4 linked regions of the Lonchura striata genome follow. The protein of the gene in region 4 purifies or fractionates together with the protein of the main gene of each other region. This does not show direct contact. Links are inferred from orthologs where the notes say so. Each region holds a gene or a part of one and is shown on either strand. Other genes may lie near its edges.

Region 1 (7,427 bases), on a different chromosome or scaffold from region 4:
GTGGAGAGAGAAGGGTGCTCCCAAGGTCTCCTCTCACCACCCAAATTGCTCCACATCTCCCAATCCTGGTTTTTCTTCTTTATCTCACACCTACTGCAAGTCCTCTTCTGGTCCCACTTTTTTCTCACGCATCCTTTTTTCCAGGGCTGCACTTGTTCTCTTGCTGAGCAGATCCAGAGGAGAGTCCACCTGGCTGGGAGGCTCTGGGTGGCTGTGTGGGCTTGCTGGGGGCTCACAGGCACACCACAAGATCCTGCTGCCAGCTCCAGGCAAGGCGTGTTGGGGAATGGAATTGGCCTGCCACAAGGGAAATCTTAGGGGAATTGGCTCCTTCTGGAAATAAAAATCCCCTTCTTTTCTGCAGTGTACCAGAAATTATCCCTACAAGGAATACTTGGAGGGCATGTGGAGACTAAATTTGCATGTACAAAACTCTCTGTGGGAGTCACCTGTAGGTTTCCTTGTCCATGAACCCCAGGAAATGCTACAGCATCTGCCAGAGTGACAATGGGTATGCCTGTCTCCAGGGTCCCTTGCCAATTCCTGCAGCATCCCTCCTCAAGAAAGGATACTTCTCAGAGAAGAAATCCCATACTCTGCCAGACACTGCTGACTTTCATCCCTGCAGGCTAGTGTGTCTCAAGCTGCCCATTTCAAGGCAGAGGACGTGCACTTGTCTGTGACTACTTGAATTAAGTGCCATTTGTCACAGCAAGCTCTGCACCCACTTCATGCTCATCATCCTTGAGGACTCTCCTCTTGGCACAGACAGGGGGATAATGAAGAAAAAACTTAATTAGACTACCACACAGTCCCATCTAATTTTCTGTCCTGCATTAATCAGGGCCTGGGGAACTGTGCAGTTGGGAAGAGAGAGGACAACCCCTGAGTGCCTGGTGCTGCTGGGTCACCATCCATCAGCTGTGGTACCTGCTGGCATAGGAGCACATGACGGGGTGAGGTGGGCACCAAGAGGAGAAAAGGATTTGCAGCATGGGGTTGTTCAAGAGGTTTTGAGCAGCACCTAGACCTAGGATTAGTAAATTTGCTTTAATAGTGGTTTTTGGTGGGGTTTTATTTGTTTGATTTTTTTTTTCTGCCACCTTTGCCATGCTGTACACATCAGATCACTGCTCAGACCACACAGCAGGTGATGTCAGGTTGAGGTGCTCAGGGACACATTTCATTGCTCTTCTAGCTCGTTTCCCCTTCTCTGAGCACCCACTGGATGTTTGCTGGAGATCCCTGACAATTTTTTTTTGGCAGCAGACGCCTGCACCACCCACAGGTAAAACTTTTCCTCTCCCGAATGCACTTGGTGCTGCTGCTACCCGGCGAGTACCAAATGCGTCCTGGGAGGCACGAAGGAGGCAGGGCGGGATGCGCCGCTCAGGTGCGCCCAGCAGGGTTTGGGGGAGCCGGGACACGCAGCCTTCTGCCACCATCTAGTGGAAACCCGCGGCGGCCACAGCCTGAACGGGGCGTTTGGGAGCGCTCCCTCACTCACCTCAGCTGGGATTCCCCTCGAGCTGGCCACCCAGTTTGCCTGGCTTTTGGGTGGCCGCGTTTGCCTCGCAGCGCAGTTCCCCCCTCCAGGCCCTGGGCAGCCGCAGCCGGGTAGGGAAAAGCACAGGGTGAGCGTCTGCTATGCCAGAAACTGAGAATCCACGGCAAACCCCTCCTGGGGTCTCCACTGAACCAGCTAAATTCCCTTTAACTGTGGAATTATAGCAGCGCTCCCCAGCCACACACATGCTACAACAAGAGACAGCCATAAAATGACCTAAAGTGTATTTACTGCACAAATAGAGCTGTCAAACCTGCTCTTTTGGCCAAATTACCCTTCTCACTGATGCTTCTCTGTGAGACTTCCCTCGGCATTTGAAATTCCTGGAGCTGCCTGCAGAGGAGCTGGGCTGTGCTGAGCCACAGCAGGGACAGCCCTGCAATATGGTGCGTCCCAAGGCTGGCCTTGCTCCACTCCGGCATCATCCTGCCCAGTGCTAGGGCTGAAAAATCCTGGCCACACATGGGATACAGGGAAGAACCCAGCCTAAACACTGGCATCTGCAATGTCCTGGGCCCTTTTTGGCCATAAGAGCAGCTGGCAGGGTTGGGCCATATCCAGACCTGCTCAATGGTGCATGGATAACAGTGCATGGACTGACACAGAACATGGATTAGCACAGAGCATGGATTGATATGGAGCATGGATTGGCACAGAACACGAATTAGCACAGTGCATGGACTGACACAGAGCATGGATTAGCACAGAGCATGGATTGATATGGAGCATGGATTGGCACAGAACATGGATTAGCACAGTGCATGGACTGACACAGAGCATGGATTAGCACAGCCTCATGGCCAGTGCTGGTTCTCACTCCTCTGCACGGGGTGCTGTGCTCCTTCCCCAAACACTGGGCTCTACTGCAGCCTCACAGATACCAGAGGCAAGGACAACCTTCCAACACACTGCTGGGGAATGGGACTGAACACAGGCCATACTGAGAACTCCCCTGCCAGGGTTGGGAACCAAGACTAGCCAGCTGCCAGCCCAGCCCTTTGCAGATCCCACTGCTGGCACTGGTATTGGCCAAATGCAGTGTCCCAGCTGCCAAAACTGCCCCTGGCTAAAGCAACAGTTGTACCTTTATCATGACAAACCAGCAAGGCCAGCCCCAGCACAGGCAGCAGAGCTGTTCAGGCAGTCATGGTACATGATCTTGTTGAACCACATGCGTGGTGAGGAGAGTGCAATCAGCTCTTGCTTCAGACAGTTAAAAATCACTTTCAGGTCTCTCTGTCTTCCATTCCATCACTTTGCATCCCCTTGGGCCACACTTAGTCTTGTGTCACTGCTTTCCCCATGCAGTGACCCCACTTGGGGACAGCTCCTGCAGCACACAGTGGGACATGAGCCAGACATTGCTATTTCACAGGCAGGGTCCAGCTGCCCTACACAAGGGTTTTGCCAGCTGGGATCCCCATCTGCCTGCATGTGTGTGACCAGGACTGGGACACAGGCAGTATCCCACTTTGTTCCAGCTCCTTCCCTCCCCATACTGGCTGATGGTGGCAGGCCCTGCACAGGCTTGGATTACTCCTGGAGAGGCTGATTGATCCCATCACCTCTCAGTGAGCAGCTGCCCTTAGCTCAGCTTGCCTGGAAACTGCCTCTTCTTAACCAGCAGAGAAAGAGGCATAGGACAGCCTAAGAGCTGGGTATATTGCCTCAGCCACAGTGTGGCACTGAACAATCTTGGGGTGCCCCCTCAAAGGCACCAGGGCCATGCAGGATGGCACTCATTGAGAGTCTGCATTTTTATTCCGGGGCTCACTAGGATCTCATGTTCCCCAAGTCAGGTGCTTATCTCAAGTAGGCCATGGATGAGCAAGCTGCTACAGTCACCCATGCTTGAGTCAGGAGCCCCCAGGAGCTGGCTGGATGCCCAGTTTGAAGGGTAGGGGAGGTAAGGCAGTAGGGAAAGCCCAGCAATGGAGGCCACTCTGTGTCAGGTAGTGGCAAGGCAGCACCCAGCCCGGCCAGCAGAGTGACAAGTGAAACAGGGGTACCGGGTCTGCCCTGGGGTCATTTCTACCCTCAATTTACAGCCACCGGGGAAAAATTCCACAGGGAGAAAGGTGGTGTCTTCTTGCAGTGACTGCATTCAAAAGCATCCATCAGGCAAGCACAGGCTTATTTTTTTCTTTCATTTTGGGCCTTTTCTCCCAGCTGAAGGAGTGAAGGCTGGCAGCTGCAGAGTGCAACCACAACCTCGACAGCAGCAGCAGCAGCACACTGACCGGCTCCTACGGAAGCTCCTTCAGCTGCCCACGGGTGCTTTGTGCTTCCCGAGGGTCGGGGAGGGGATGCGGAGCCAGGCAGAAGTGGGTGGCAGAGATAGCGCTGGGGCAGAGACAGCCCCAAAGCGGGAGGCAAAAGCGTGTTCGGGCAGAGCGGCACGCCGAGCTGCCGCCGGGGCGGTCGGGGCCGCCGTGAGCGCCGGGCACGGCGGCGTCTCCCGGAGCCCCGGAGCCCCGGAGCCCCGCCCGGGCCCGGCACGGCGCCGCGGCCGCCACGTGCGGCCCCTGGGCCCGGCCAGGCCGCCCGGCCCCGCGCATGCGCCGCGCCGCCGCCGTCCCGCGGCCTCCCGGGCGGGCGGTGCGTCCCCCCCGCGCTCGGCCCCGCGGCTGTAACGCGCCCTGCGGTTGGCCGATCGCAGAACGCCGGCGATTGGCGCGGCGGCTCGAGGGGCGGGGGCCGCGATTGGCCGGGCGGCGGGGCGCGCGCGGCGATTGGTCGGAGCGGGGGCGGTGGGGGCGGGGCGTGGCGCGGGGCTAGCAAAGGGGGCGGAAGGGGCGCGCGCTCGCTCTTTCGTGTCAGTGCCCGGCCCGGCCGCCCGCGCGTCCCCGCCGCTCCCGCTACTCGCCCGCGGCCCGATCCCCGCCGCGCCGCCGCCCCGCCGGACGCGCCCGCTCCGCTCCCGACACAACTCGGCCGCCGCCCCTGCGCCGCCAGGCACCGCCGCCATCATGGTGAAGATCACCAAGGTGAGGGAGTGGCGGAGCGCAGCCGCCGGGCGGGAAGCGGTCCAACGCCGCCATGATGGGGCGGGAGGGTGCGGATGGCGGCGTATCGGGGAGGAAGCCGGGCCGCCTTCTCGCCGCCGTCCGCTCGGGCCGCGCGGCGGCACCTGGCCTGTTCTCCCGAGCCGTGAAGATGGCGGCGAGGGGAGGGGCCGCGGGCCCGGAGGCAGTGGATTCAAGCCCCAATTGTCCCGCTCTGCTCCGTGCGGCGGCGGCGGGAGGGGAGCGGGCGGCGGGGCGGGGGATCCGCGCGCGTGTGTGCGGGACGCGGGTGGGCCCCGCGTGCGGGCGCGCGCGGGGTGGGGGGGGCGGGGCTACGTCACAGTGCGGCCACGTGGGGCGCGCGGACAGCGAGCACGTGGGGGCGCGCGGAGCTCCCGGGAAGGCCCCGCGCACCGGCGGGCGCGGCCCCGCCACCGCGGGGCGGCCACGTGGTGGGGACAATCGCCCCGCCGGAGCGAGCGGCGCCCGCAAGCGACCCGGGTGAGCACGGCACCTGAACGTGCTGCTCCCGCTCTCTTGCAGACCCCGAAGAATCAGATGAAACAGAAAAAAATGGCTCCTCCCCCGAAAAAGTTCGAGGAAAGTGAAGAAGAGGAGTCCTCTGATCTAGACGAAAGCAGCGGAGAAGAGGTGATTGATCTAGAAAGGGGAGGCAAAAGGACGCACGTGTTACACAGAAGTGTCGTGAGGGTTGTGGGTTACACTGTAACAGGCGTTTAATCAATAGTCGGTGTTTCTCTATAAATTGTGGCTAAAGAATAAAGTGGATTTTGTAAGAATAAAGCATTATGGGGAAAAATAGCTCAGCTACTGTGTTTCCAAGCTTTTGGAAGTGCTTCTGATGTTTTAAAGCCATACTAAAGCTGATAAGCATGTGGGTACCTAATTATTCTAGTAATCAGCAGTGTAACATTTGTCCACGTGTGGTTTATGTGCAAGTGTAAAAATTCCAAGGTATAGAATGCTAATAGACACAATTGGTCTTTGTTCAGGACCAGGGAGTTTAGAGGTGCTTTGATGTTCCATAAGTAGGCTTCTGAAAGCATGAAAAAGCTGTTTTTGACCTTTATTCATCTGAGTGGGCATTTAAGGTAAATTTACAGAACCTGTCAGGTTACTCTGTAGATTTCAGTTGCTGTATGTTTGATAGTGAAGTAATGGTAGGTTAAACAGGCCAGCATGAATCTTACACTAATGTGTCTTTCAGATGATCCCCCAGAAGAAACCACAAAAAGTTGCTGTTACCCCAGCCAAGAAGGCTGCAACTCCTGCAAAAAAAGTTGCTACTCCTGCAAAAAAGGCAGTTACACCTGCAAAGAAGGTTGTGGCTACTCCACAGCCGAAAAAGGCTGTTACTCCAACTCCTAAAAAGGCTGCTGTCCTAACCAAAGGAGCAAAAAATGGAAAGAATGCCAAGAAGCAGGAGAGTGAAGAAGATGATGAAGATGACGAAGATGATGATGAGGAGGATGAAGAAGATTCGGGTAAGTTACTTTTGAAATAGGCATTGACTAAAGCTGGTTCAATCAAGTCATTAAATATGAGTCCCTTTGGAATTGGAAGCATTTGTGTGATTAATACTTGGGGGAGTTCATTGATTAATGAGGGGTTATGAAGGAGAGGTGGGCAATGGGTGAAGTTTGGAGGAGAGCTTGGGCTGCAGCTGCCTTACACACGGCGTGTAAAACATCTCCTAGTTTCTTGATTGCCCTTTCCTGAACTTTTGCGCAAAATTTTGGGAAGCTCTAAGCACTTTTTACCTATACCACTGAACCTTAGTAGTAAAGACTTGTACTGTTGGTGCAGATGAGGAAGAGGAGCCACCAATGCCTGTGAAGCCTGCAGCCAAAAAGCCTGCAGCAGTACCAGCCAAAAAGCCTGCAGCTGTGCCAGCAAAGCAGGATTCTGAGGAGGATGAGGATGAAGAGGATGATGAAGAAGATGATGAAGAAGATGGTATAAGATGTTTATTATTAAACACTTTCAGGGACCTGGGGGAGGGAGGTTACTTAAAGGATAATGGGATTGATGCAGTGTGTGCTCGGCTGGTTTTAGCTGGTTGCTGTTGTCCATGTTGCTGAAAGGATGTTAATTTCCCTTTTGTCAGTAAAACTTCTTACTGTTGGTGAACAGGTTTTGGGGTTTTTTTTAATGCAGTAAAACACAAGGCAGAGAGACAATTTTCCTGGAAACATACAAATTTCAGGAGGCATGAGAAACATCTTGCTTAACAGTATTTTGTTTTCTTAGTTTCAAAATATGCTTAATGTGGAACTGTCTGAATACCGTGCTCATCTTGTTTCAGAGTCTGAAGATGAAGCCATGGACACAGCCCCTGTTCCAGTGAAAAAAGCCACTCCAGCCAAGGCTGCACCAGTGAAAGCCAAGGCAGCAGAATCTGAAGATGAGGAAGATGAGGATGATGATGAGGATGATGATGAAGAGGAGGAGGATGAAGAGGATGCCGAAGAGGAAAGTGAAGATGAAAGTAAGTTTAAGTGGCTTTGAGACTCTTTAATAACAGATATGGTGCCTAAGCAGAAATGTGCTACAGTGGCCTTTTGTACTGAGGAGCAGCTTCTGAGTAACAGGAGAAGATCTTGTGTATGAATAGTGTAAGGATTAATGTTCCTGTATTGATGCAATTCAGGAAAAGTTCTGTATTTTACAGTGTTGTTCTGTTTTCTGGCACAGAACCTGTTGTCAAGGAAGCACCTGGAAAGAGGAAGAAAGAAATGGCCAATAAAAGTGCACCAGAGCCCAAGAAAAAGAAAACAGATGGTAAGTGGTGTGGGATCCTCATATGATGCTTGTTTAATGGATTGTGATTGAAT
Region 2 (6,979 bases), on a different chromosome or scaffold from region 4:
TTCTTGAGCCCTTACCTGCTGAAAAGGCTGCAGGCTGGGGGGCTGCCCAAGCAAGGGTTTGTAGGAAAGTCCTTAGCCTCCCCTGCTTCCCGAGGCAGAGCTGCCCCAGCCCCGCTCCGAAGGTAACAGACTTACCAGAAGATGATCTAATGACAAAGCAGAGGAGCCAGAACACTTGGGTTGTCATTTTGAAGAAAAGTTTTTCCAGACTCAAAATGAGCTGGAGTCTTTTATGCCCTTCCCCCGATCCATGCTAATGAGAGGCAGCCTGAGGGGAAACGGGAATCACTCGCTGGACAACCCACTGGAGCAAGACCAAGCTGCTGCCTCCACCAGCCCTGCCTGGGAGGAATGTGCTCCTTCCCATCGGGAACAAGCCCCTGGCTGCACCACCTGAGTCCTGGGAATACACACCCACACGTGGTTCTGGCAGCAGATTTTTATTTTGGGGAGTCTTGCCCTCCTGTGGCATTCTGTAGGGAAAAATCATCGGGAACAAGGCTGGTTTTGCTGCCTGTGGAGAGCTGTGTTCTGGGGGGGAACCGGGAGCTGCTGGAATACACCAGACCCGGGGACACGGGGGCTGTAAAGGATATGCATGACAATGGAACATATCTGGGGATTTCTGGTCACCTCCAGTGATACAACTGCTAATCTCCTCTTTTAGTTTCAGGAACCAGTTTCAGTGATTCTTTTCAGGCTGAAAAATGCAGTTGTGACTGTCTAGTCCAAGGGAAAGCTCTGCTGATCCCACACAGCTTTATTTTTAAATCTCTCTTTGCCATCGTGAAGAACTCTGCAAATTTTCACACACCAAGCCAACCCTGATTTGGATTACTGAATTAAGAAGGCTTATTTCTAAGTGACCTTATTGCAACACAAGATTCCTATTGTGACAGTTTAACTCACCGGCTGCTGCTGGGTGCTGTGGAAGCTGTTCATGATTTTAAGGGACAACCAACAATTTAAAACTACATAAAGGCACTGAAAGGCTCCTGAAACCCACCCTTGACAGAAAATCTAACCCTCAGCCATGCCTGTGGCATGGGATTCAGTGTTGCTTAGTTCAAGCAGTTTGTTTTGTCCTGCCTTAATTAAATATTTCAATAGGATTTCCAGAAGCTCAGGGCTTTGTCTCCAGCAGCCATGGGCAAAGATACAGAAAATTCACCAGAATAGTGTGGAAAATAAAAGACATTTCACCACATCTATTACTCAACGAGTTACGTTTCTACTGCAACACTCACTTACTCCCTGTTTCCCTCTGTTATTTGAAACATTTTAATTCCAGAACTATCCCAAGATAGCTATTACGGGAATAGGAATGTAAATTGAGGATGAAGGAGAGGAGGGCTCCTCCATTGCTTTGGTGAGCAGCAGGTACCTGCAGCAAGCAGAAGCTGGAGTGTGAGTGCTGGCACTGGGGAGGGAGGAGGATGGATGGATGGATGGATGGATGGATGGATGGATGGATGGATGGATGGATGGATATACACACACGTGAGCATGCCACAGACCTGTATTCCAAGGATTTTTCTGTTGAATTAGCTGGTGGTGCAATTCAACCCTCATTCATTACGGCTGTGTCTGCACTCTTTCCCCAGACTTTACTTGGACAGGATCTCCATTAAGAGCACAGCAGTGGTGTTTGGAGCACTCCCGGCATTCCAGCAGCCCCGGGGTGCTCGAGCAGCGGAGATGGAAAAGCTTTCCCAGCAGCGCTGGGCAAAACCGGGACCAAAGCCACATCCCTGCCCGGTGCCCCGCGGCTGCTGCTCTCTGGAGGGAGCGGGACCCAGGGATGCCCGCAGGAAGCGCAGCTGCCCCCGCGGGTCGCGGAGCGCGGCAGAGCGGGCCCGGGGCAGCCGCGGTAAAAGAGTCGGGGGTCCCGGGCGGGGGTGGGCGCACGGAGCGACCCGCGGCAGCGGCACAAAACGAGCGCGGCACGACCCAGATGGGACTCGAACCCACAATCCCCAGCTCCGGAGGCTGATGCCTTATCCATTAGGCCACTGGGTCACCCAGCACACACCGCGCGCGCCGCCCGGTAAGAGCCCCGCCCGGCCGGCCCCGGCCCCGCCCCCTGCGGGTGTCACGTGTTCCCCGCTCGCGGCGGGCCGGCCCCACCCCCCGCACGCCATTGGTCGCGGCGCCCTCAGGCCCCGCCCCGCGGCGCGTGCCCGCGGCCCCGCCCGCGCCTCAGAACGGGTTCCCGCCCTCGGCGCGAGCGCGTCCCCGCCTGAGGGGACCCGCCCGGGGCCGCCCCGCTGGCCCGGGACCCCCGCCCACCGCTGCCCGCGGGCCCGTGTCTTTCAGCTTCCCCTCGCGGGCCCGGTCCTGGCTCCTGTGCTGCTGCCGGTAACTCTACCCAGTCCCAGCGGCTCCACACTCGGCCTTCTCAGGGAACACCTCCCCCTCAGGGCTCTGTGACCCCTCACGGCCCTTTTGCCCGCCTTGCACACACCTTCTGCAGCCCCACAACCTCACCCGCAGCTTGGCCGCTGTTGTGCCCCAGTTGCCCAGTCTCCCCCGACGTCTCTGTCGCCCCCTCGCAGCCCACACCCCCTCGGGCATCTCGGGCACTGCCAGCCCTCTCCGTGCCCTCAACACCGATCGCTGTGCCCAGATTTAACTGCTCCAGATCATACACTGCCAGCGATGGAATTTCTTCACGCCAACCTTCCAATCCTTCAGGAAAGCAGGTGTTTTACCTCTATTTCTGCTTTTGAACTGCCTTTTTTCTTTGTTTAATATCTCCATTTGTTAGCAACGTGCCTTCTCTTGGCTTACCTGCTCTTGTTTTTGTAGGTGTTTTTTACAAAGCTCAGCACCGTAAGGCCTAAAACCAGCTATATGAGATGTCACTGGTAATTCCTCCTCAGCAAACATCCTCCATACCTAATGTGTGCCTAGAGATTGGTATAAGTGGTTTAATGTGATGGCTTAGCACACAGGCATATCGATGTACATGCCTGAAACTTCTCTGTGTTGTACCTTACAGGTGTCTCAAAGTGTCAGAGTTGTGTTTTCCCTACAGTTCTTTGGTTTGAAGATCTCCTGTGAAAATCAGTGTTCTTTTGTGTTCCATCCCTCATGAGCAGGCCAAACCCATTGGAATCAATCTCATCCCTTTTCAGGCCATACCACAGGGGCAGGAATCCTTTGCTTTTGTTATTCTGTGTGATTAGGTTTCCATCTGCCCTGATGGCTGTAGAACTGCTTTCAGCTGCAATCTCATATCCCCTTTTCTTTGCATTTCTGTGCACCACATTTCTTGGAGACAATAAGTGACACATGGAGCCATGGAATCACTGAATGGTTTGGGTTGGAAGGGACACCCTCCATTACCCCAAGTTGCTTGGAGCCCCATTCAACCTGGCCTTGGACACTTCCAGGGATGGGGCAGCCATAGCTTCTCTGGGAACCTGAGAAGGGCTTCACCACCCTTACAGGGAAGGATTTTTTCCCAATATCCCATCTAAACCCACTCTCGTTGCGTTTGAAACCATCCACCTCCTCGTCCTGTCACTACCCGCCCTTGTCCCGGGGAAGCCCGCGTTGCCGCGCTGGTTTCTGAGGCAGACTCAGGCTCTGCGTGAGGGAATTTCTGCCCCACCCGCTCAGAGCGCGGCCCCTGCACGACACAATTAACCCCTCGCTCCGATCCCCGCTCCCGTCCCGGGCTATCACCGAGCCCGGCCCCGTGCACTACAGCTCCCGGCGTGCCCCGCGCCGCCCCACAGGGGCTTGCTGGCACTGCCTGCGCGGGGCACGCCGGGGGCTGTAGTACCGGGCTTTGTGAAGACGTCACGTCCGACCGGCTCTTCCGGGAGGGCATTCCCCGTCATGGCGAGCCGGGCTGCTTTCAAACCGGCCAATCAGAAGGCTGCTTTGGCTCGAACTGGCCAATGGCAGGGCGCGGCCGCGGGAAATTTAAATGCCGCGTGGGGCGGCCGTGGGCAGTGGCAGCGTGCGGCAGCAGCGGAGCGACTGGCGGCGTCTCCGGCCGAGGTGTGGGGACCGGGTCTGGGGCGGCGGGGATGCGGGCCCTGCGCTGCCCTTTTGGAAAGAGCCGTGCTATGCCTACAATTCTGCCGGGGCCTCTCTCCGGAGCCTCCCGCGTCTCGCTGTCTGCACTGGGGCTGATAGGGCTGGTGTATCCCAGCGCGGGTTGTCTCTCCGGTGGGGCTATGGCCGAAGGGAAGCCAAGACGGTTCTTATGCTGGCAGTGGCTGAGCCGTAAGGGTTTTCTTCGTTACTCGTGTAGCCGTTGTTATGTGCGGCCGGCTGCGCCCGCACGGCAAACGCCCCCCGGCCTTCTTCCCATTCCCAAAAAGGTCGGGGTGGGGCTAGGTGGGTTCCTGTGCAGCACAGGTGCGTGATAGTGAAAATAGTATTTAACAGCGTGTGTATGTTGTCTGTAGAAATGAAAATCTATGCTGCTTCTGAAAATAATAACTAGCAGTATTTGGTTTAAAGTGTCTCAAAATCGTGTGACTGTGTCTTCTGCTTTTGTGTTGATGCTAGAGTTCGTTATAACATATGGCTGTTTAATGAGACAGCTGTTGAACAAGTCAGATGTTTTTATAGTATTAATGCTAACAAGTGCCTATCATTCTTGAGTATGGGTCCAATTTTTTAAAATTTAACTTTTGTGGAGTAAATTTTCCTTTGCTCTGTTTTCAGGCTTGTTTTTATCTGTCCTGCTCAAAAAATCTAACAAGCAAGATGTCTACTAATGAGAATGCCAATACACCCTCAGCTCGATTAAACAGATTCAAGAACAAAGGAAAGGACAGCACAGTGAGTACTCTGGTGCAATTAGTACTTTAGCCAGCCATTTTCTCTTTAAATCTAAGTTTTGAAAGCCCAGAACTTATTCTGAGTGTGTATCCTCCAGGAGATGAGAAGGCGGCGCATTGAAGTCAATGTGGAGCTGAGGAAAGCTAAAAAAGATGACCAGATGCTTAAAAGAAGAAATGTGAGCACTTTACCAGATGATGCTACTTCTCCCCTTCAGGAAAACAGAGGCAACCAGGTAAGTGGATACTTGGAATAGACACACTTGGAGGGTCTTACTGTCTGAGATGCTGCAGCCAGGCCAACATGGATCTATTCTCGAGTGCAGGACAGCACTACTGCATCTGCATTAGTAACTCAGGCCTGTGTTATCACCTCTAATGGACAGCACTCTTACACACAACTGGGGATGCCTTAAGTTTTAGCTTTCATATTTTTCAGATTCTATGCTGCTTTAGTGTGTAACTGAGCTTCATATTAAGTGTTAGCAAGTTCTCTTCACAGAGTAGGTAGACAAAACAATCCCTTTCCAGCTTGTCCAAGGACAAGTGTTACAACCTCCAGGCCCAAAAAGTATAAACAACAGTGAATTGAAGAAAGAAAAATAAACAGGATGGAGCTTTGTAACCTAAAGTTATAACTGGACAATTAATTCCAATATGCAAATGGACTAAAACATATAAAAGTGTCAAACCTCATGACCATAGTCCGTTTTGTGACCATTTTGGTTCATCTTTCGTGTAGCCCTGGCCAGGCTCTTGTACTGCCCAAGTTGTATCCATTAAGGCCTTCAATCAATACCTGCTTTATTCTTTAACTCTGTTTAGCCTCTGTTCTAAGTCAGACTTCTCAAGGCATCACTGGCTGCAGCTACATTTTAAACCTAGCATAACTGGTATGAATCACTTGGTTAAAAAAAGCTTTCAGCAGTTCAGATAACTGTAGGTGAAGCTGTAGCTGATGAGGTTTTGAAATACCTCATTGTGGAAGTGGCTGTAAATTGGGGCCTGTTCATGGTACTGTGTAAGAGCTCTCTGGTCAGGAATACACATGACTGTCCCAGTGAAGCACTCATGTAACATTTTCTTGTACAGGTTTTGGCACATTGGTCAGTTGAAGAAATAGTCAAAGGAGTTAATAGTAATAATATGGAGCTTCAGCTACAGGCTACTCAAGCTGCCAGGTAAGCAGTTCAGAGGAAACCAACTCAGCTGTGCAAGCCAATAACTAGGCAAGGTGAGAGGATTGACTTATGAGCCTAAATGGCTGCTTATGGCTTTCTTATCAGGCAGTATTTCAACAAACACCATCTTATATACCATGTTGAGATACCCATAACTTAGGCATGGTTTTATTGAAATCATGTGGCTTTTGAATATTTAAAGTGCCTGAATATTTTAGTAGGAAGAAGTAATTTGCTTTAGTGGTGGCAAATTTAACAGTAGTCACCTTTGATTTGAAGAAGTAATTATAGTTAACACTTTATTATAGCAAAGTAAGGTACCTTTTAAACTGTGTTAACACTTTGGTATGTATGAGTGTGGCAATTCACTTTAGAATAATGTGAACAGTAGGATGAGTGGGTTTTGAAGTTTTCCAAGTTTGTTTCTCTTTTCAAATCTAAAATATCCTTTAATAAGCTTGCATATTGCTCAAGTGCTTCTTCTGGCAGTCACTAACCTCTCTCTGCTGAGAAGCCTCTAGCAGCTCAGATGTGTAATGACTCCTGCAGGTCTGCTTTGCTTCAGAGTCTGAACAGAACCTCTCATATAGTGAAGACATGCCAAATTAGCATTAACAGAGGCCTGGCTAGGGAGCTAGTGTTCATCTTGTATGCATTTCTCTTTCATGCTGTTGTGTTGCCTTCTATGAATGTTAAGACAATGCTAAACTCTTTTCATATGGTGCTTTTAAAACTTTAATTTGTTGTTCAGATGTCTGCAGGCAAAATTAATGCTTCCTGTTTGCCTTCCTCCATAGGAAACTCCTCTCAAGAGAGAAGCAACCCCCAATAGACAACATAATTCGGGCTGGTTTGATTCCAAAGTTTGTCTCGTTCCTGGGCAGAGCAGACTGCAGTCCCATCCAGTTTGAATCTGCCTGGGCCCTCACCAACATCGCCTCTGGCACGTCAGAGCAAACCAGGGCAGTGGTGGATGGAGGGGCAATTCCAGCCTTC
Region 3 (7,606 bases), on a different chromosome or scaffold from region 4:
GTCCCTGTCCCCTCCTGGTGTCCCTGTCCCCATCCTGGTGTCTCCATCCCCATCCTGGTGTCTCCATCCCCATCCTGGTGTCCCTGTCCCCTCCTGGTGTCCCTGTCCCCTCCTGGTGTCCCTGTCCCCTCCCGGTGTCCCTGTCCCCTCCTGGTGTCCCTGTCCCCATCCTGGTGTCTCCATCCCCATCCTGGTGTCCCTGTCCCCCTCCCGGTGTCCCTGTCCCCTCCTGGTGTCCCTGTCCCCATCCTGGTGTCCCCATCCCCATCCTGGTGTCCCTGTCCCCTCCCGGTGTCCCTGTCCCCATCCCCTCCTGGTGTCCCCGTCCCCATCCCGGTGTCCCCATCCCCTCTTGGTGTCCCCATCTCCTCCCGATGTCTTTGTCCCCATCCTTGTATCCCCTCCCAGTGTCGCTGTCCCCATCCCCATGTCCCCATCCCCTCCTGTCCCCAGCTGTCCCCGGTGTCCCCGGTGTCCCGTGTCTCACCTCTCTCTTCTTCTTGGCCCTGCCGTCCTCGCTGCCGGGCAGCCCCTTGCGCTTGGCGCCCTCGGGGCGCTCCCGGGGCCGCGTCCCCTCGCTGTCCCTCATGTCCCTCATGTCCCTCATCCTGCGGTCCTTGCGCAGGAACTGCGAGATCAGCTCGGGGCAGTCCAGGTTCTTCTCGGGCTCCCACGTGTTGTGCTCCCTGGGGACACCCAGGGGACAGGGGACATGGTCAGGGGACATGGCAGGGGACACCCAGGGACACCGTCAGGGGACACAGCAGGGGACAGGGGACAGGGTCAGGGGACACCCAGGGACACAGTCTGGGGACAGGGGACACGGCAGGGGACACCCAAGGATACCCAGGGACACCGTCAGGGCACGGGGGACATGGCAGGGGACAGGGGACACTGTCAGGGGACATGGCAGGGGACAGGGGACATGGTCAGGGGACACCCAGGGACACGGTCAGGGGACAGGGGACACCCAGGGGATACCCAGCGACACCCAGGGTACAGGGGACACCAAGGGGACATGGTCAGGGGACAGGGGATACCCGGGGACACCCAGGGACACAGAGGGGACACGGTCAGGGGACACCCAGGGTGTTGTGTCCCCTGTCCCTGCTGTGTCCCTGCTGTCCCCGTCACTCACTCGGAGAAGCCCTTCCACTTGAGCAGGTACTCGGCCTGGCCCCTCACCACGCGCCGGTCCAGCACCTTCTCCACCACATACTCCTCCTCCTCCCCCGAGGACGAGCTGTCGGCGGCCCGGCGGCTCCTCCTGCCCATAGCGCAGCCACCGCTCTGGGGACAGGGACAGGGACAGTGACAGGAGTGTCACCGTGGCTCAGGGAATGTCACCGTGGGACGTGGCACTGCCCTGCTCCTCCTGCCCATGGCGCAGCCACCGCTCTGGGGACAGGGACAGTGACAGGAGTGTCACCATGGCTCAGGGAATGTCACCATGGGACGTGGCACTGCCCTGCTCCTCCTGCCCATGGCACAGCCACCGCTCTGGGGACAGGGACAGGGACAGTGACAGGAGTGTCACCATGGCTCAGGGAATGTCACCATGGGACGTGGCACTGCCCTGCTCCTCCTGCCCATGGCACAGCCACCGCTCTGGGGACAGGGACAGGGGACAGTGTCACCATGAGTGTCACCATGGCTCAGGGAATGTCACCATGGGACGTGGCACTGCTCCGGCAGCTCCTCCTGCCCATAGCGCAGCCACCGCTCTGGGGACAGGGACAGGGACAGTGACAGGAGTGTCACCATGGGTCAGGGAATGTCACCGTGGGACGTGGCACTGCCCTGCTCCTCCTGCCCATAGCGCAGCCACCGCTCTGGGGACAGGGACAGTGTCACCATGAGTGTCACCATGGGTCAGGGAATGTCACCATGGGACGTGGCACTGCTCCGGCAGCTCCTCCTGCCCATGGCGCAGCCACCGCTCTGGGGACAGGGACAGGGACAGTGACAGGAGTGTCACCGTGGCTCAGGGAATGTCACCGTGGGACGTGACACTGCCCTGCTCCTCCTGCCCATAGCGCAGCCACCGCTCTGGGGACAGGGACAGTGTCACCATGAGTGTCACCATGGGACGTGGCACTGCTCCGGCGGCTCCTCCTGCCCATGGCGCAGCCACCGCTCTGGGGACAGGGACAGTGTCACCATGGGTCAGGGAATGTCACCATGGGACGTGGCACTGCCCTGCTCCTCCTGCCCATGGCGCAGCCACCGCTCTGGGGACAGGGACAGGGACAGGAGTGTCACCATGGGTCAGAGAGTGTCACCATGGGTCAGGGAATGTCACCGTGGGACGTGGCACTGCCCTGCTCCTCCTGCCCATAGCGCAGCCACCGCTCTGGGGACAGGGACAGGGATGTCACCAGGGCACAGGGATTGTCACCATGGGTCAGGGAATGTCACACAGGGCCCCTCCTGCCACTGCTCTGGGGGCACGGATAGGAATGTCACCAGATTTGGGGACACCTGGGGATCCCCAGGAGGGATTTCGGGACATCCTGGGGATCCCCAAAAGGGATTTGGGGTAATTTTGGGATCCCTAAGAGGGATCTGGGATCATTTTGGATCCCACAAAAGGGATTTGGGATCATTTTGGGAGCCCCAAGAGGGATCTGAGGTCATTTCGGGATCCCCAAGAGGGATTTGGGATAATTTTGGGTCCCACAAAAGGGATTTGGGGTAATCCCCAAGAGGGATTTAAATTATTTTGGGATCCCCAAGAGTGATTTGGGGTTCCTTTGGGACCCCAAAAGAAATTTGGGGTAATTTTGGGATCCCCAAGAGGGATTTGGGATAATTTAGGGACGCCCAAAAGGGATCTGGGGTAATTTTGGGATCCCCAAAAGGGATCTGGGGTAATTTTGGGATCCCCAAGAGGGATCTGGGGTCACCTCAGGATCCTCAAAGTGAGACCCCAAGGGGGAGGCACAGGAGGGGCTGATTCCTAAAAACCCAGCGGGGATTTAGGCACAAAGAAACGTGATTTGGGCTAAAATCTCCTAAAAAAAAAAACAACGCAAAACCCAGAGAATTCAGGCAGAGCGAAACGGAATTTGGAATAAATCCCCAAAAACTGAAGGGGGATTTGGGAGCAGAGAAATGGAATTTGGGCTAAACCCCTTAAAAATCAAGATTAAAAAAAAGAAAAAAAAAAAAAAAGACGCTTTAAAAGCCCTCAAATCTGTTTTTTCTCCCCCCTTAGGGCAGGATTTGAGCGGATTTCTCCCTTTACACACAGCCCGAGGGGAATCCCTCGCTCCCGGCCGGAATTTCCTGCCGGGCTCCCGGCGGGGTTCCGGGCGGGCTCCTGAGGGAGAAGGCGCCGCTTTGGGTGGGAAAAGGCCAATTTTGGGAAAATCCGCGCCCGGGAATGCTGCGGGAACAAAGGGAGGGCGGCACGCGGAGGCCCGGGAGCGCCTGGCCGGGGCCGAGGCCGCGGCTGTGAGGGGAAAGCCGCCGCTGCGGGGCGGGGCGCGACGCCCCGAGGGCCCAGGCCGCGGTTTTGGGGTGAAAAGCCGCAGATTTGGGCTCGGAGCGCCCCGAGCTGAGGGGCCCGGCCGCCGGGCCTGGGGGCGGGGCCAGCAGCGCGCCGCCGCACGCCATTGGTCAGAGCCGCCGCGCGCCGCGCCCTGATTGGCAGCGCGCCCCACCGCGCGCCGCGGCCCCGCCGCGCGACTATTGGGCGGCGGAACCGTCACTCCGAGCGCCGCCCCGCCTGCCCTGCGCCGCTATAGGTCAGCGCGCCTGTCACTCGGCTCGCCGCCCCGCCTCCCGCTCGCTGCTATTCAACACCGCGCCCGCCACTCCCCGCGAGGCCCCGCCTCCCGCCCGCACCCATTGGCCGCCGCGCCTGCCCGTCACGGCGGCGGGCCCGCCCCCGCGCTGCCGCCCGTCCATCCGCCGCCCGCCGCCGGCGCTACCTGCGCGGAGAGCGGCTCCGGCGCGGGCCCGTCCGCCGCGGTCTGGCCGCCCCTCCGAGCCGCCGCCGCTCCGCGCTCCGCCCGCCAAAACCGCCCGCAGCGCGCAGGCGCCGCCGGCGGCGCTCCGCGCATGCGTCCGCCCGCCTTTTCCCCCCCCTCTCCCCAAAGCCCACCGCGATGGGCGCATGCGCTGCCGCGGCCGCACCTTGGGGCCGGCGGGCGGGCGGCCTCTGCTCGCCGCCGCCGCCGGGAGTCGCCGCCGCCTCCCCGCTCTGCGCCCGCCGCGCCGCGCTCGCCGAGCTGCGCTGGGCCCGCCGCCGCCGGCGCTGATGGACGGCCGCGCCCGCCAATGGGCACCGTCCCCCCGCTCTCCCAGCCAATGAGCGCCTGGCGAGGGGCGGGCCCTGTTTCTTTCCAACCAACCAGCGGCGCGCCGGGGAGTCTCCGGGCCGGAGCGGGAAAAGCCACGCGGGGCGTGTCGGCAGCGCTTCTCCCCAATCCCCGCGGCGCAGGGGCGGGACGTTTCGGCGCGCAGCCAATCAGCGGCGGCGCGGGGGGCGGAGCGCGGCGAGGCGGCCAATGGGGCGGCGGCGTTGTGAGGCGGCAGCCAATGGGCGGCGGCGCGGGGGCCGCGCGGGCGGCGGGGGCGGCGGGGTGAGGCGGCGGCGCTCGCGGCGCTCGGCCCCTTTCCGTGTCGGCCCTCGCAGAGGGAGCATCGCGCGCCGCCGCCACCGCCCCGCGCCGCCGCCATGGCCAAGGCCGAGGTCAGCAGCGGCGCCCGCCCCGCTCCCCGCCGATCCGCGCGCCCCGTTGTTTGTTTTTTTTTTTTTTTTTTTTGTTGTTTTTTTTTTTAACCCATCCCCGTTCCCTCCCCCCCGCCCCCGCCGCCGCCGCCGCCGCCTGGCGGGCCGCGGGACCTCACTGCGCCTGCGCGCGGCGCCCCCCCCTCATCCCCTCAGCCGCGCAGGCGCCATTGTGTGTGGGGGGGGTCACACACAGAGCCCCCCCTCCCCTCCCCCTTCCCCTCCCCCTTCCCCTCCCCTCCCCCCTCAGGTTCCATTTTTGGGGGGGGTCCCACAGAGCCCCTCCCCCCCCCCCCCCAAGGTCCATTTTCGGGGGGGGGTCCCACAGATTTCGCCCCCCTCAGGCGCATGCGCGACCCCCCCTCACCCCGCGCGCGCTCCCGCGGCCACGTGCGCGCGCTTTGTGTCACGGGGGGGGGGGGTCTCAGGAATAACGGGGGGGGGAAAGAAGGGGATGGGGGGGTGTTGGAATTTGGGCTTGAAATTAAAGCTGGGGGGGTGGGGGAGTTGGAGTTTAGGGTTGGGGGGGGCAAAATTAGGGGAGGGGGGTCAGGAATAGGGGCTGGGGGCGCTGAGGGGGCTGAGGGTGCTGGTAGGCCCCAAAATTTGGGGTTGGGGGTGTTGGAATTTGGGGTGTGGGGCCTTTGTGGGGTTTAATATTAAAACTGGGGGGGTGGGGGGTCGGAATAGGGCTGGGGGCCCTGAAGGGGCTGGGGGCGGTGAGGGGGCTGGTAGGCCCCAAAAATGGGGGTTGAGGGAGAGATTTGGGGGCCTGGAGTTGGGATTTTGGGGTTGGGGGTGTTGGAATTGGGGATGTGGGGGCTTGGGGGGGTTTAAAATGAAAGCTGGGGGGTTTGGGGGGGTGGGGGGTCAGAAATAGGGGCTGGCGGCGGTGAGGGTGATGGTAGGCCCAAAAAATGGAGGTTGGGGGAGAGATTTGGGGGCCTGGGACATTGAGAAATTTGGGTTGGGGGGGTTTGGGGGTCTGGTGGCCCCCCCAGATGGGAACTGGGGATGCTCAAGGTTCAGGTGGCCCCAAAAATTGGGGATGGGGGAGGTCAGGGAGGGTCCCCAGGGGGCTGGGGGGGGATTTGTTGGGGGTGGGTTTGGGGTGTCAGGAGCTGCTTGGGAGGGGAGGGTCCCAGTTGGGTTTTTTTGGGGTCCCAGGGGCGATTTGGGGGTGTCAGGATCTCTCTGGAGCTTTGGGGGGACATTTTGGGGTGTGAGGGGGAGTTCAGGAGGGATTTTGGGATGGGACGGGGGTCCCAAGAGGGATTTTGGGGTGTGAGGAGCACTGGAGGGGTCCCATTAGGGATTTTGGGTTGTCAGTCCCCCCGGGAGCTGGGTGAGGGGGTTTTGAGGGGGTTTTGGGGTTCCCCAGCCTCCCCAGAGCTGGGTGAGGAGGTTTTGGGGGTCCTCATCCCCCAACAGGAACTGTGTGAGGGGGTTTCGGGGTGTCAGGCCCCTGTGAGCTGAGTGTGGGGGTTTTGGGGGTGTTTTAGGGGGGATTTTTGGGGTGTTTTAAGGGGTGTTTTAAGGAGTGTTTTAGGGAAGGTTTAGGGGGTGTTTTAGGGGGGATTTTTGGGGTGTTGTAAGGGGTGTTTTGGGGGTGTTTTAGGGGGAGTTTTAGGGGGGATTTGGGAGTGTTTTAAGGGGTGTTTTAGGGGAGGTTTAGGGGGTGTTTTAGGGGGGATTTTGGGGGTGTTTAGGGGGTATTTGGGCTTCCCACCCCCTCCGTGGGGTTCCGGGGTGCCCTGAGCCCGTCCCCCCGCAGTCCCCGAAGGAGCCGGAGCAGCTCCGGAAGCTTTTCATCGGGGGCCTGAGCTTCGAGACCACGGACGAGAGCCTGCGCAGCCACTTCGAGCAGTGGGGCACGCTCACCGACTGCGTGGTGAGGGGCAGGGGGCCTGAAATGGGGCTGGGGGCCCTGGAAACGGCACTGACTGCAGGAAAAACGGGGCTGGGGGCCCTGAAATGGGGCTGCGGGCCCTGGAAACGGCACTGACAGCAGGAAAAACGGGGCTGGGGGCCGTCTGAAATGGGGCTGGGGGCCTGAAATGGGGCTGGGGGCCCTGGAAACGGCACTGAGAGCAGGAAAATGGGGCTGGGGGCCCTGGAAACGGCACTGAGAGCAGGAAAATGGGGCTGGGGGCCCTGGAAATGGCACTGAGAGCAGGAAAAACAGGGCTGGGGGCCGTCTGAAATGGGGCTGGGGGCCTGAAATGGGGCTGGGGGCCCTGGAAACAGCACTGAGAGCTGGAAAATGGGGCTGGGGGCCCTGGAAACGGCACTGAGAGCAAAAAAATGGGGCTGGGGGCCTCTGAAATGGTGCTGGGGGCCCTGGAAACAGCACTGAGAACAGGAAAATGGGGCTGGGGGCCTCTGAAATGGGGCTGGGGGCCCTGAAATGGGGCTGGGGGCCCTGGAAACGGCACTGAGAGCAGGAAAAACAGGGCTGGGGTCCCCAAAAATGGAGCTGAGGTCCCTGAAATGGGACTGAGATCTCCTGGAGTAGAGCTGGGGTCACTAAAAGGGCACTGTGATCCCTAAAACCAGCCCTGGGATCCCTGAAAATGGCCCTGAGACCCTTAAAAACGTCATGGGATCCCTAAAAATGGAGCTGGGATGACAAAAATGGCCCTGGGATCCTCAAATCCCTCCCTGGGGTCCCTGAAATCAGCCCTGGGACCCCAAAACCAGCCCTGGAGCACCAAAACCAACCCTGGGGCACCAAAACTGACCTGGGACCTTTAAAATCAGCCCTGGGACCCCAAAACCAGCCCTGGGGCACCAAAACTGATCTGGGACCTTTAAAATCAGCCCTGGGACCCCAAAACCAGCCCTGGGGCACCAAAACCGACCTGGGAC
Region 4 (7,410 bases):
CACCAATAACTCCTCTATCCCATGTCTTCATGGCACAGTAACCTGAAAGCCTCACTCACTTGGGCATACAACAGTCAGGAGGAACTGTGAGACAGCAAACACTATATTTGACTAATGCATGAACACTGACGCCCAGAGAGATCATGCAAGGTTGAAGGTTTTGCCAAGGTAAAATTCCATCCCTCTTTTTTTTTCTTTTGTATCTACATATGACTGTAACTAACACAACTCCTCTTGAAATTCAGCCAAGCATAACAGACACTTATAAAGCTAGGACTGAATCATCACTGCAGCTCAGCATGGAATTTGATTTTCGCAGGTTTCACTAACTCCTTTGATCTAGTTGCTTATGAAAAAATAGTAGGACTCCCTGCAAATAAAACTGTGTGGAAAAGAGCTACAGCTTAAGCAGAAGCTTTCCTTCCTTGCAGAGAAGCCAGAACTTAAGAGTGGCTGGCAGCCAAAGCCTACCAGATGCCATATAGCACACCAGCCACTGCTGCCTTCATCATGAGACGACACCAATCAGTATGTATACTCCAGCCAAACACTAAGTGAAGTAGCAAGAAACCTCTTGACAGTCCCTGTGTGTTTTCTCTGGAAGATACCCAATCCATGGAACTGACAGTGCACCTATATGGGCACCAAAACCTGCATAAACCTAAACCAGTAGTACTGCTTCCCGTCAAAGCAGGGTGAAGAGGACAGTGTGCAAACACTTTGCTGGGCTAAGTGTATGTCATGATGCCTGCTCAGTCTGCAGTAAATGCTTGTTGCAGAATGATGGGGCTTAGGCACACTCCCTCACTCACCTGTATTCAGGGGCTTTGAAGCTGCACCCATAGCTGCCAAAGCTTGTAGCAGTGACTATCACTGTCCATGGAAACTCCCAATTCTTGTAAAAACCAGCAAAGATTTTCAGTACGGTTAAGATCCACCAACTTAGGTAAGTGGTGGGGGAGCAGAACTGCTACAGCAGAAGTAATACTGTCAAAAAGGAAACTACTTATTTCTTGAAAATTAAATTACTTGCATTAATAATATCTACGTAAATTTTTTGTCATACCTTGAAATCCTCTTGACACAAAGTGTTTTTGAACAGAGGCTGGGAAAGCATAACTTTAATGTAAAGACTGGTAGCTACTTTGCTTCCACCAACTGTCCCATTAATCCCCTCTGAAGCAACTCGTACCTAGAAGGCAAGAGGAGAAGCTGGGGCTGAGCCTTAATTACAGCAAAAGAGATCATAGTGAAATTGGCAAATTATGAATATGGCAAAATATTTGCCTGTGACACAGGGCAGGCACAGGAGTATGTTCAGAAAAGAGACTACTGATTAAGGAAGGAAAATATGGTTAGTCTGAAGTTGAACATAAAGACAATAACCAGGAAAAAAAACCCTCAACAATCCAGTAACCATTTCTCAGCCATTTTAAAAGAATCACACCAGGACAGTCAGAGAAGTCCACTCAATAAACAGAGAAATGCTGTATAAACACAGAAATTGCTGTCTGCAAATCCTGCAGTCGGCATTAGAATTCCCACTGGAAGTTACCTCAGAAAGAACAATAGGTTTGTGCTGCATGACTCACACAGCTAAAAAAGAAAATGTGAATATGCATAACATTGTATCAAATATTAATTTTTGGGATGAGTCATTTTATCCCCAGCACTGACAAATGAACAAAAGCTCTGAAGTGGGGGTTGGGGGGAAGGGCGAAAGACTGAATATAAGAAGCAAGGAGAAAAACAGCTGATTGGGCTCTACCTGTCTTGGAGATGAGATGGAAAAAAAAAAAGAAAAGAAACTTGAGCAAAACACCAACTACCAGAGAAGACAGCTGAGCAGAAAAAGGAGTGAATGTATGACAACACTTCACCCCCAGGCCTGTGTTGATGTATCACTGGCAGAGAGCAAGAAGCTAATTAGGAAGACAAGTCTCAGATAAAAGGATTTTCCTGCTCCACGTTGCTCTCCTTCTCCTCACAGATAGCCTAGGAACATCAACTTTCTGAGACTAAAATTCACCTTTGCACACAGCATCCAGAGGTCAGGTACACAAGCAACTGATGTCATTAGTCTAACCTGCCAGGAATGAAAATAACAGACTGTGCAGAAAAGAAAAATGCTACATTATGGTGTAGTCTAAGGTGTTGGCTGTTCTCACCTTCCCAACAGTATGGCTTACAGCTTGCTGTAGCCACTCTGCATGGAAGCCCACTGTGCACTGAGGAAGGAGGATACAGGTGCCCAGTGAGTGGAGCAGGCCCAGACCCACGCTATCCCTCCAGCTTGGCCCTCAGGCTGCGTTGTGCTGCATGTGTCCTTCAGCCACAGCATACACCCAGCCTGCTAATGCTAACTGAGATGCCTGAAAGCAGCTCTCTGCTGACACCAATGATTAAGTCACTTTCATCTCCCTGCCTTTATAGAAAAATGCATCACGACTTTCTCATGTGAATATCCTTTCTGGTTGACAGCAGGAGTGATAAAAAGACTGTTTCCATGTGTAAAACTGATGGAAACAGGGTAATCCTTGCAAGGCCAGGGTCTGCACAGTGTGCTGCCTGTAAGGCTCACTCAGTGCCACACAACCCAGGGCTCCCTACATCAAAAGGGATTTAAGGGGATTTAAGATTATCTGTATTTTTTTTTCTTTGTTGTGATAGCTCTTAAACAGAATTCTAAAAGATACCTTACCAAGTCTGAGTGTCTGTCTTAATGGGATCATAACAGACTAACACTTTCTGATGCAAAACACATGTGGTTCTCCATATAACCCATCATCCTGCACTACGTAAAGATATGGGGCTTTTTCCTTTAAGAATAGAACCATTGCTGCAAACCTTACCTTGCCAGTGAGATGTAGATGCTGACACAAAGCCTTCTGCCAAGCACAGAGTTTCTCTGGATCCCTCACCTCACAGTAACAGTAATAGAGAAGTACGTCTCCCACCTGGCTGCCCACAGCATGGTAAAGGTAAGCAAAAAGAAAAATAATGTTAAGAAAGAACAAAATTGTACTATTAGCAGTAACCATTCAAAAAGCAGACAATTTTCTTTTGGCAGATCTGTAGAGAAAAAAATCCCCTGAAACAAACTTTGTAGGGATTAGACCTACTGGGTTTGGTTTATTACAAACAGAATGAATGTTAACCAAAAAAAAAGCTCCCAGACTTCTAATCCTCGGGACTAGTTACAAAGTGAACTTTGTACTCTCACTTCCAGGGCCTACCATATGCTCTCCCCACACACAGAACACAAGAATTGCTGGCTTTTATCCATACATGCAAGCCATTTGGCTCACTTTACCAAAATGGCACTTGAAAACTCAAGCACTTGAGCTGTCTAAATTTAAAAAGCCTAAGTTTTTTGTGAGATTGCACATTCCCACATTCTGTGCAGCACAAGCTGAACTCTGTCACAGTCAGAAGCGTTTCTATGAACCTTCTTCATAACTAACTTCAGGAACTTGAACGAACAGCAGAAAGGAACCCGTGCAAAGCATATCCTGCTGTTCTGCCCTTCTCTGTTGTGGTCCTTCCTTACAGATCCAAGCTGTCAAGCAACACCCATACAGACCTGCTTTAACAGTACAGAAGAATAGTTCAATCCACCGTTAAAAACTGCAAGGGATCTAGCTCTTTATATAAAGGATACACAAAGAATGTGAAGATCTAGAAGAATATTGGGGAATACTCTCTTCCTATACCTTAGAAGCGTGGCTTAAGAAGTACTTCTCATAAGAAGTACACTGGCAGATGATCATGTAAAGCCGAATATCCCAGTGCTGGAGCTTCAGGGAGGCGAGGAGCTTCCTTACCTGGTCAGATCGTCGTGGCTGACGTGGCTGGTGTCCGGGAGCGCCCAGGAGATCTCCGGGCCGCCGCAGGAGCGCCCGCTCGGCCGGGCCGCGCCGCCCGCGGCGTCGGCGGGCGGCGCGCCCAGCCCCGCCTGCCGCCCCACGTCCCCGGAGTGGTGCAGCGCCACGTGCCTGTGGATGCCGGGCAGCTCCTCGAACGCCTGCCGGCAGCACCGCCACCGCACGCCCTCTCCTCCGCCGGGACACCGCGACGCGGCCGGCACCTCCTTGGCTTTGACGAACAGGGAAAAGGCCTGGAACGCACCGCAAGCGTCCTCGTTACCGAGGTTACAGCGCGGCCCAGGCCCGGCCCCGGCCCCGACCCACCTTCCTGCGGGCGGCCGCGCACTGCTTCCTGCCCGCCGCCGCCCCCTCGGCGCTGCCCCGCGGCGCCGCCTCGCCCAGCACCATCTCCCCCTCTCCGCCGGGAAGCGCCCGCTCTCCGCCTCCTCCCGCCGGCTCCGTCCCCGACCCGGAACGGCTCGGGTTCCTCAGGGAAGTGGGCGGGCCGGGCCGCGCGCGCCCCGGAAGCGGCGCGGCCGCGGGCGGGGAGGCAGCGCGCTTGCTCGGCCCGCGCGGCGCCTCGGCCCAGCGCTTCCCGCAGCTCCGCGGCGCTCCGCACTGCTCGGCGCTGCTCCTCCCGCTGCTCCCCCCCGCTGCTCCGGACCATGTCGCGGCGGCGGCACAGCGACGACAGCGATGGTGAGCCCCGCGCCCCCCTCGCGGTGTCCCGGCGGGAGGGTGGGTCGGGCGGGATGGAGGAGCGGCGGGGTTGAGAGCGGCAGGGTTTCTGCGGCGGCGGTAACGCTCTGCTTGGTGTGTTGTGGAGCAGGACAGCCCCACAAGAGGCGGAGGACGTCCGAGCCGTCGGAAATTGAGGAGAGGCTCGAGTCGCTCATCTGCAGGGTGGGAGAGAAGGTAGGTGGGCCGGCGGCTCGGGGAACTCAAGCCTCGTTTCCCTTCTCCCTGTCCCTTGCATGGTGTGGGTGCGCTTCGTCTGTAGTAGCGACCCTCAAAAAATGCTTATTTTGTGAGGTGGGTGGAAAGTTGCCGGTTTTTTTTGCTAAGCCACGTGCTGCGGCGGGTAAGTGCTTAAATCGTAGCGTGGTGCTTCCCAGTCGGGGATACACGGCCCGAGTTACTGTTGTACCTAGAGATGGTGCTGGTGATTCTGGCGTGCGAAGGGTGCGAAAGAATTAATTGCTCTTCCTGCGGCACAAGTTTCCAGTCCCGACGGTGGGGCTGATGGAGGAGGGGGTGGCAGAACAATAGGTGATGATGCGCAGAGAAACTAGGTGTTTTTCAGCTTCGTGTTGTGTTGTTAATCAATGCTCGGCTGGTCGGGATGCTCCTGAGGTGATGTTCGATCTTGCATCCCGGGGGAAAGCTGAAGTTCCTAGCGAGGGAGTTTGGCGGTCAGGTGCAACTCTTGTTAGGCAAGCGAGAACAGATCTTCGCTTTTGATGGAACCCGAGTATTGCCCCGAAAAATGAGGCGACACGAAAGGATGCTCATGTCTTACATGTGGGAGTTGGACTAGTTCGTTTTGCCTGGTTGATGAAACTTTCTTCTGTTTGTTTGTTTTGTTTTCATTTTAGAGTAATTCATCTTTGGAGAGCAACCTGGAGGGCCTAGCTGGTGTTTTGGAAGCTGATCTGCCAAATTACAAAAGCAAGATACTAAGAATACTGTGTACTGTGTACGTATTGAGAAGGTCTGGGAATATGGGGTGTGCTTTCGGTGTGCCTAAGTTTGGTTTTAAGGTAGTTTAAAAGCCATGAATAGCTTTAGTTTGTGATTGGTGTCATAGCTTAGGGTTTGCCTTACTACAAACGAAAGACATAGAGGAACAAGTTCGCTATGTATTTGGTGTAATTCAAGAAAAATACCTTTTTACTTTGCTTTGACTTGAAATGTGTATAAAGGCTTGAAGCAGGTAGATGAAACATTAGAACTGGTCTGCAGTAGCTGTGGGAACGCAGCAATACCGGGTAAAATCCTTTTTCACGTGAAACGCTTAAGCGCTTAAGACCACCAGAGTGGCTGCTAACATCTATCTGTGTTATCTTGATGTTTTCTCACAGCTTTCTCTTCCCTGGCAGTCACGTGCTCAAGTCTTTGTAAGCACATTTGCTAGAGGGGAAGGACTGGGAACGGGAGGAGCAGAAACCAGGCTCTGGTGGCTGCCAGCTCTCTTTCCTCTCCCTGCAAAATGCAGGAGCAGAGATGCTATGACAGGGTCACTGAATGGTGTTGAGGGAGGGATTGTGCAGGGTCTGTTGCAAGAGGTAAGACAATTCCGAAGGAAGGGTGTGGTGCAGACTATGTAGCCTGTTCTAATATTTTGCAGATACTTAAAGTTTCTTTTTTAGCAATATTTTTAATAACAGGTAAGTAGTGTGCTTCCTTCCCTGGCAGCAGAAAGACACTGCTTACTTACCTGCTTAAAATGGTAGAGGTAAATTACTTTTTTACAGTAGGACCTAGTATTCCTTATGCTGTGTAATGACTTTACTATTGACTATGGACTTAAACAACTTCTTGCATTCTTGCAATAAATTCTGTCACTAATATTATTTGTCCAACCCTGTGGGATACTCAGCAATTAGATATAAATGAAAAGCAAATATTTTGTACTAGAAAGTGATAGTAGCTGTCTTTTCTGATTTTCTGATTTCCTCATGAGCCAAGTTTTAACTTACAATACGCGGATTCTAAGATGCCATGCAGTGGCCAACTGGCACATGATGAATAAACAACTAACACATTATTTCTTTTTCTGTGTCAGTGCACGTCTGCTACCAGAAAAGCTTACTGTTTACACGACATTGGTGGGCTTGCTGAATGCCAGGAACTACAATTTTGGTGGGGAATTTGTAGAAGCCATGATTCGTCAGCTTAAAGAATGTCTGAAAGTAAACATGTATAATGAAGCTGTGCATTTAGTAAGTGGAGTTTTATTTGTCTATTTTTTTCATATCCTTATTCTTTCCTCTTTTCACCTTTTTGTTACAGAGAGCTGGACCTTGCAATGTGTGTTTTAATGTCTTTTGCCATCAATGTGCAGTGCACTTTAAATATTCCAAGAGGAAATATGTGTTAGCAGTATTTTCTTTTTCAAGGACGAGGACTTGTATTACATTTACAAAATGTAGTTCCAATGGTATCTTTTTCACAGTGAAAAATTAAATGTGTGTTAAACAGAGGTGCTTTTCACTGCTTGTTCTTCAGTCAAATGTAAAAGATAAAAAAAAAAAGTGCTTCCTGTCTTTGAAACCATTTGCTTCATCCTTACTGCTTATAGATTTTGTCTGCTGTAAGCTATTAGAACTTCAGCAGTGTCTGATTTAGAAGCCCACTGCCAAGTTCCTCACCTTCTGAATCCCACTGGTGAAAATTAAGATTCTAGTCAAGAGACTGAACTTCAGTCAACCGTGATATTATCTTTGCTAATAAGATCTATTGCTAGAACTTGCTGTTATTTTTGTTATCTGATACTGTACAGAATAGAGAGAAGTACCGTGGTTTTCTTCTGTAGTATCAGTCT

What was found.
Region 1: the proteins of NCBP1 (region 4) and NCL fractionate together in Homo sapiens (co-fractionation; 3 studies listed by BioGRID and IntAct, with this or other methods). This does not show direct contact. The link is inferred for Lonchura striata from reciprocal best matches to the Homo sapiens genes NCBP1 and NCL.
Region 2: the proteins of NCBP1 (region 4) and KPNA2 purify together in Homo sapiens (co-immunoprecipitation; 5 studies listed by BioGRID and IntAct, with this or other methods). This does not show direct contact. The link is inferred for Lonchura striata from reciprocal best matches to the Homo sapiens genes NCBP1 and KPNA2.
Region 3: the proteins of NCBP1 (region 4) and HNRNPA1 purify together in Homo sapiens (affinity purification with western blotting; 4 studies listed by BioGRID and IntAct, with this or other methods). This does not show direct contact. The link is inferred for Lonchura striata from reciprocal best matches to the Homo sapiens genes NCBP1 and HNRNPA1.

The regions. Positions count from the first base shown.
Region 1 is NC_134612.1:18,077,051-18,084,477, reverse strand, and holds the start of NCL (nucleolin), read left to right. Parts: upstream 1-4,420; 5' UTR 4,421-4,536; coding exon 4,537-4,554; intron 4,555-5,115; coding exon 5,116-5,223; intron 5,224-5,800; coding exon 5,801-6,077; intron 6,078-6,399; coding exon 6,400-6,549; intron 6,550-6,898; coding exon 6,899-7,081; intron 7,082-7,287; coding exon 7,288-7,374; intron 7,375-7,427. UniProt on the Homo sapiens protein: Nucleolin is the major nucleolar protein of growing eukaryotic cells. It is found associated with intranucleolar chromatin and pre-ribosomal particles. It induces chromatin decondensation by binding to histone H1.
Region 2 is NC_134621.1:8,515,722-8,522,700, reverse strand, and holds the start of KPNA2 (importin subunit alpha-1), read left to right. Parts: upstream 1-3,963; 5' UTR 3,964-4,011; intron 4,012-4,686; 5' UTR 4,687-4,728; coding exon 4,729-4,803; intron 4,804-4,900; coding exon 4,901-5,038; intron 5,039-5,894; coding exon 5,895-5,983; intron 5,984-6,780; coding exon 6,781-6,979. Other genes in the region: C19H17orf58 (UPF0450 protein C17orf58 homolog), read right to left, coding at 136-253, 2,465-2,688, 3,514-3,838.
Region 3 is NC_134629.1:8,440,464-8,448,069, forward strand, and holds the start of HNRNPA1 (heterogeneous nuclear ribonucleoprotein A1), read left to right. Parts: upstream 1-4,599; 5' UTR 4,600-4,684; coding exon 4,685-4,699; intron 4,700-6,512; coding exon 6,513-6,629; intron 6,630-7,606. Other genes in the region: CBX5 (chromobox protein homolog 5), read right to left, coding at 488-686, 1,139-1,275. UniProt on the Homo sapiens protein: Involved in the packaging of pre-mRNA into hnRNP particles, transport of poly(A) mRNA from the nucleus to the cytoplasm and modulation of splice site selection.
Region 4 is NC_134642.1:47,796,971-47,804,380, forward strand, and holds the start of NCBP1 (nuclear cap-binding protein subunit 1), read left to right. Parts: upstream 1-4,405; 5' UTR 4,406-4,531; coding exon 4,532-4,565; intron 4,566-4,695; coding exon 4,696-4,781; intron 4,782-5,461; coding exon 5,462-5,562; intron 5,563-6,651; coding exon 6,652-6,808; intron 6,809-7,410. Other genes in the region: TSTD2 (thiosulfate sulfurtransferase/rhodanese-like domain-containing protein 2), read right to left, coding at 1,067-1,192, 2,853-2,961, 3,825-4,117, 4,191-4,274. UniProt on the Homo sapiens protein: Component of the cap-binding complex (CBC), which binds cotranscriptionally to the 5'-cap of pre-mRNAs and is involved in various processes such as pre-mRNA splicing, translation regulation, nonsense-mediated mRNA decay, RNA-mediated gene silencing (RNAi) by microRNAs (miRNAs) and mRNA export.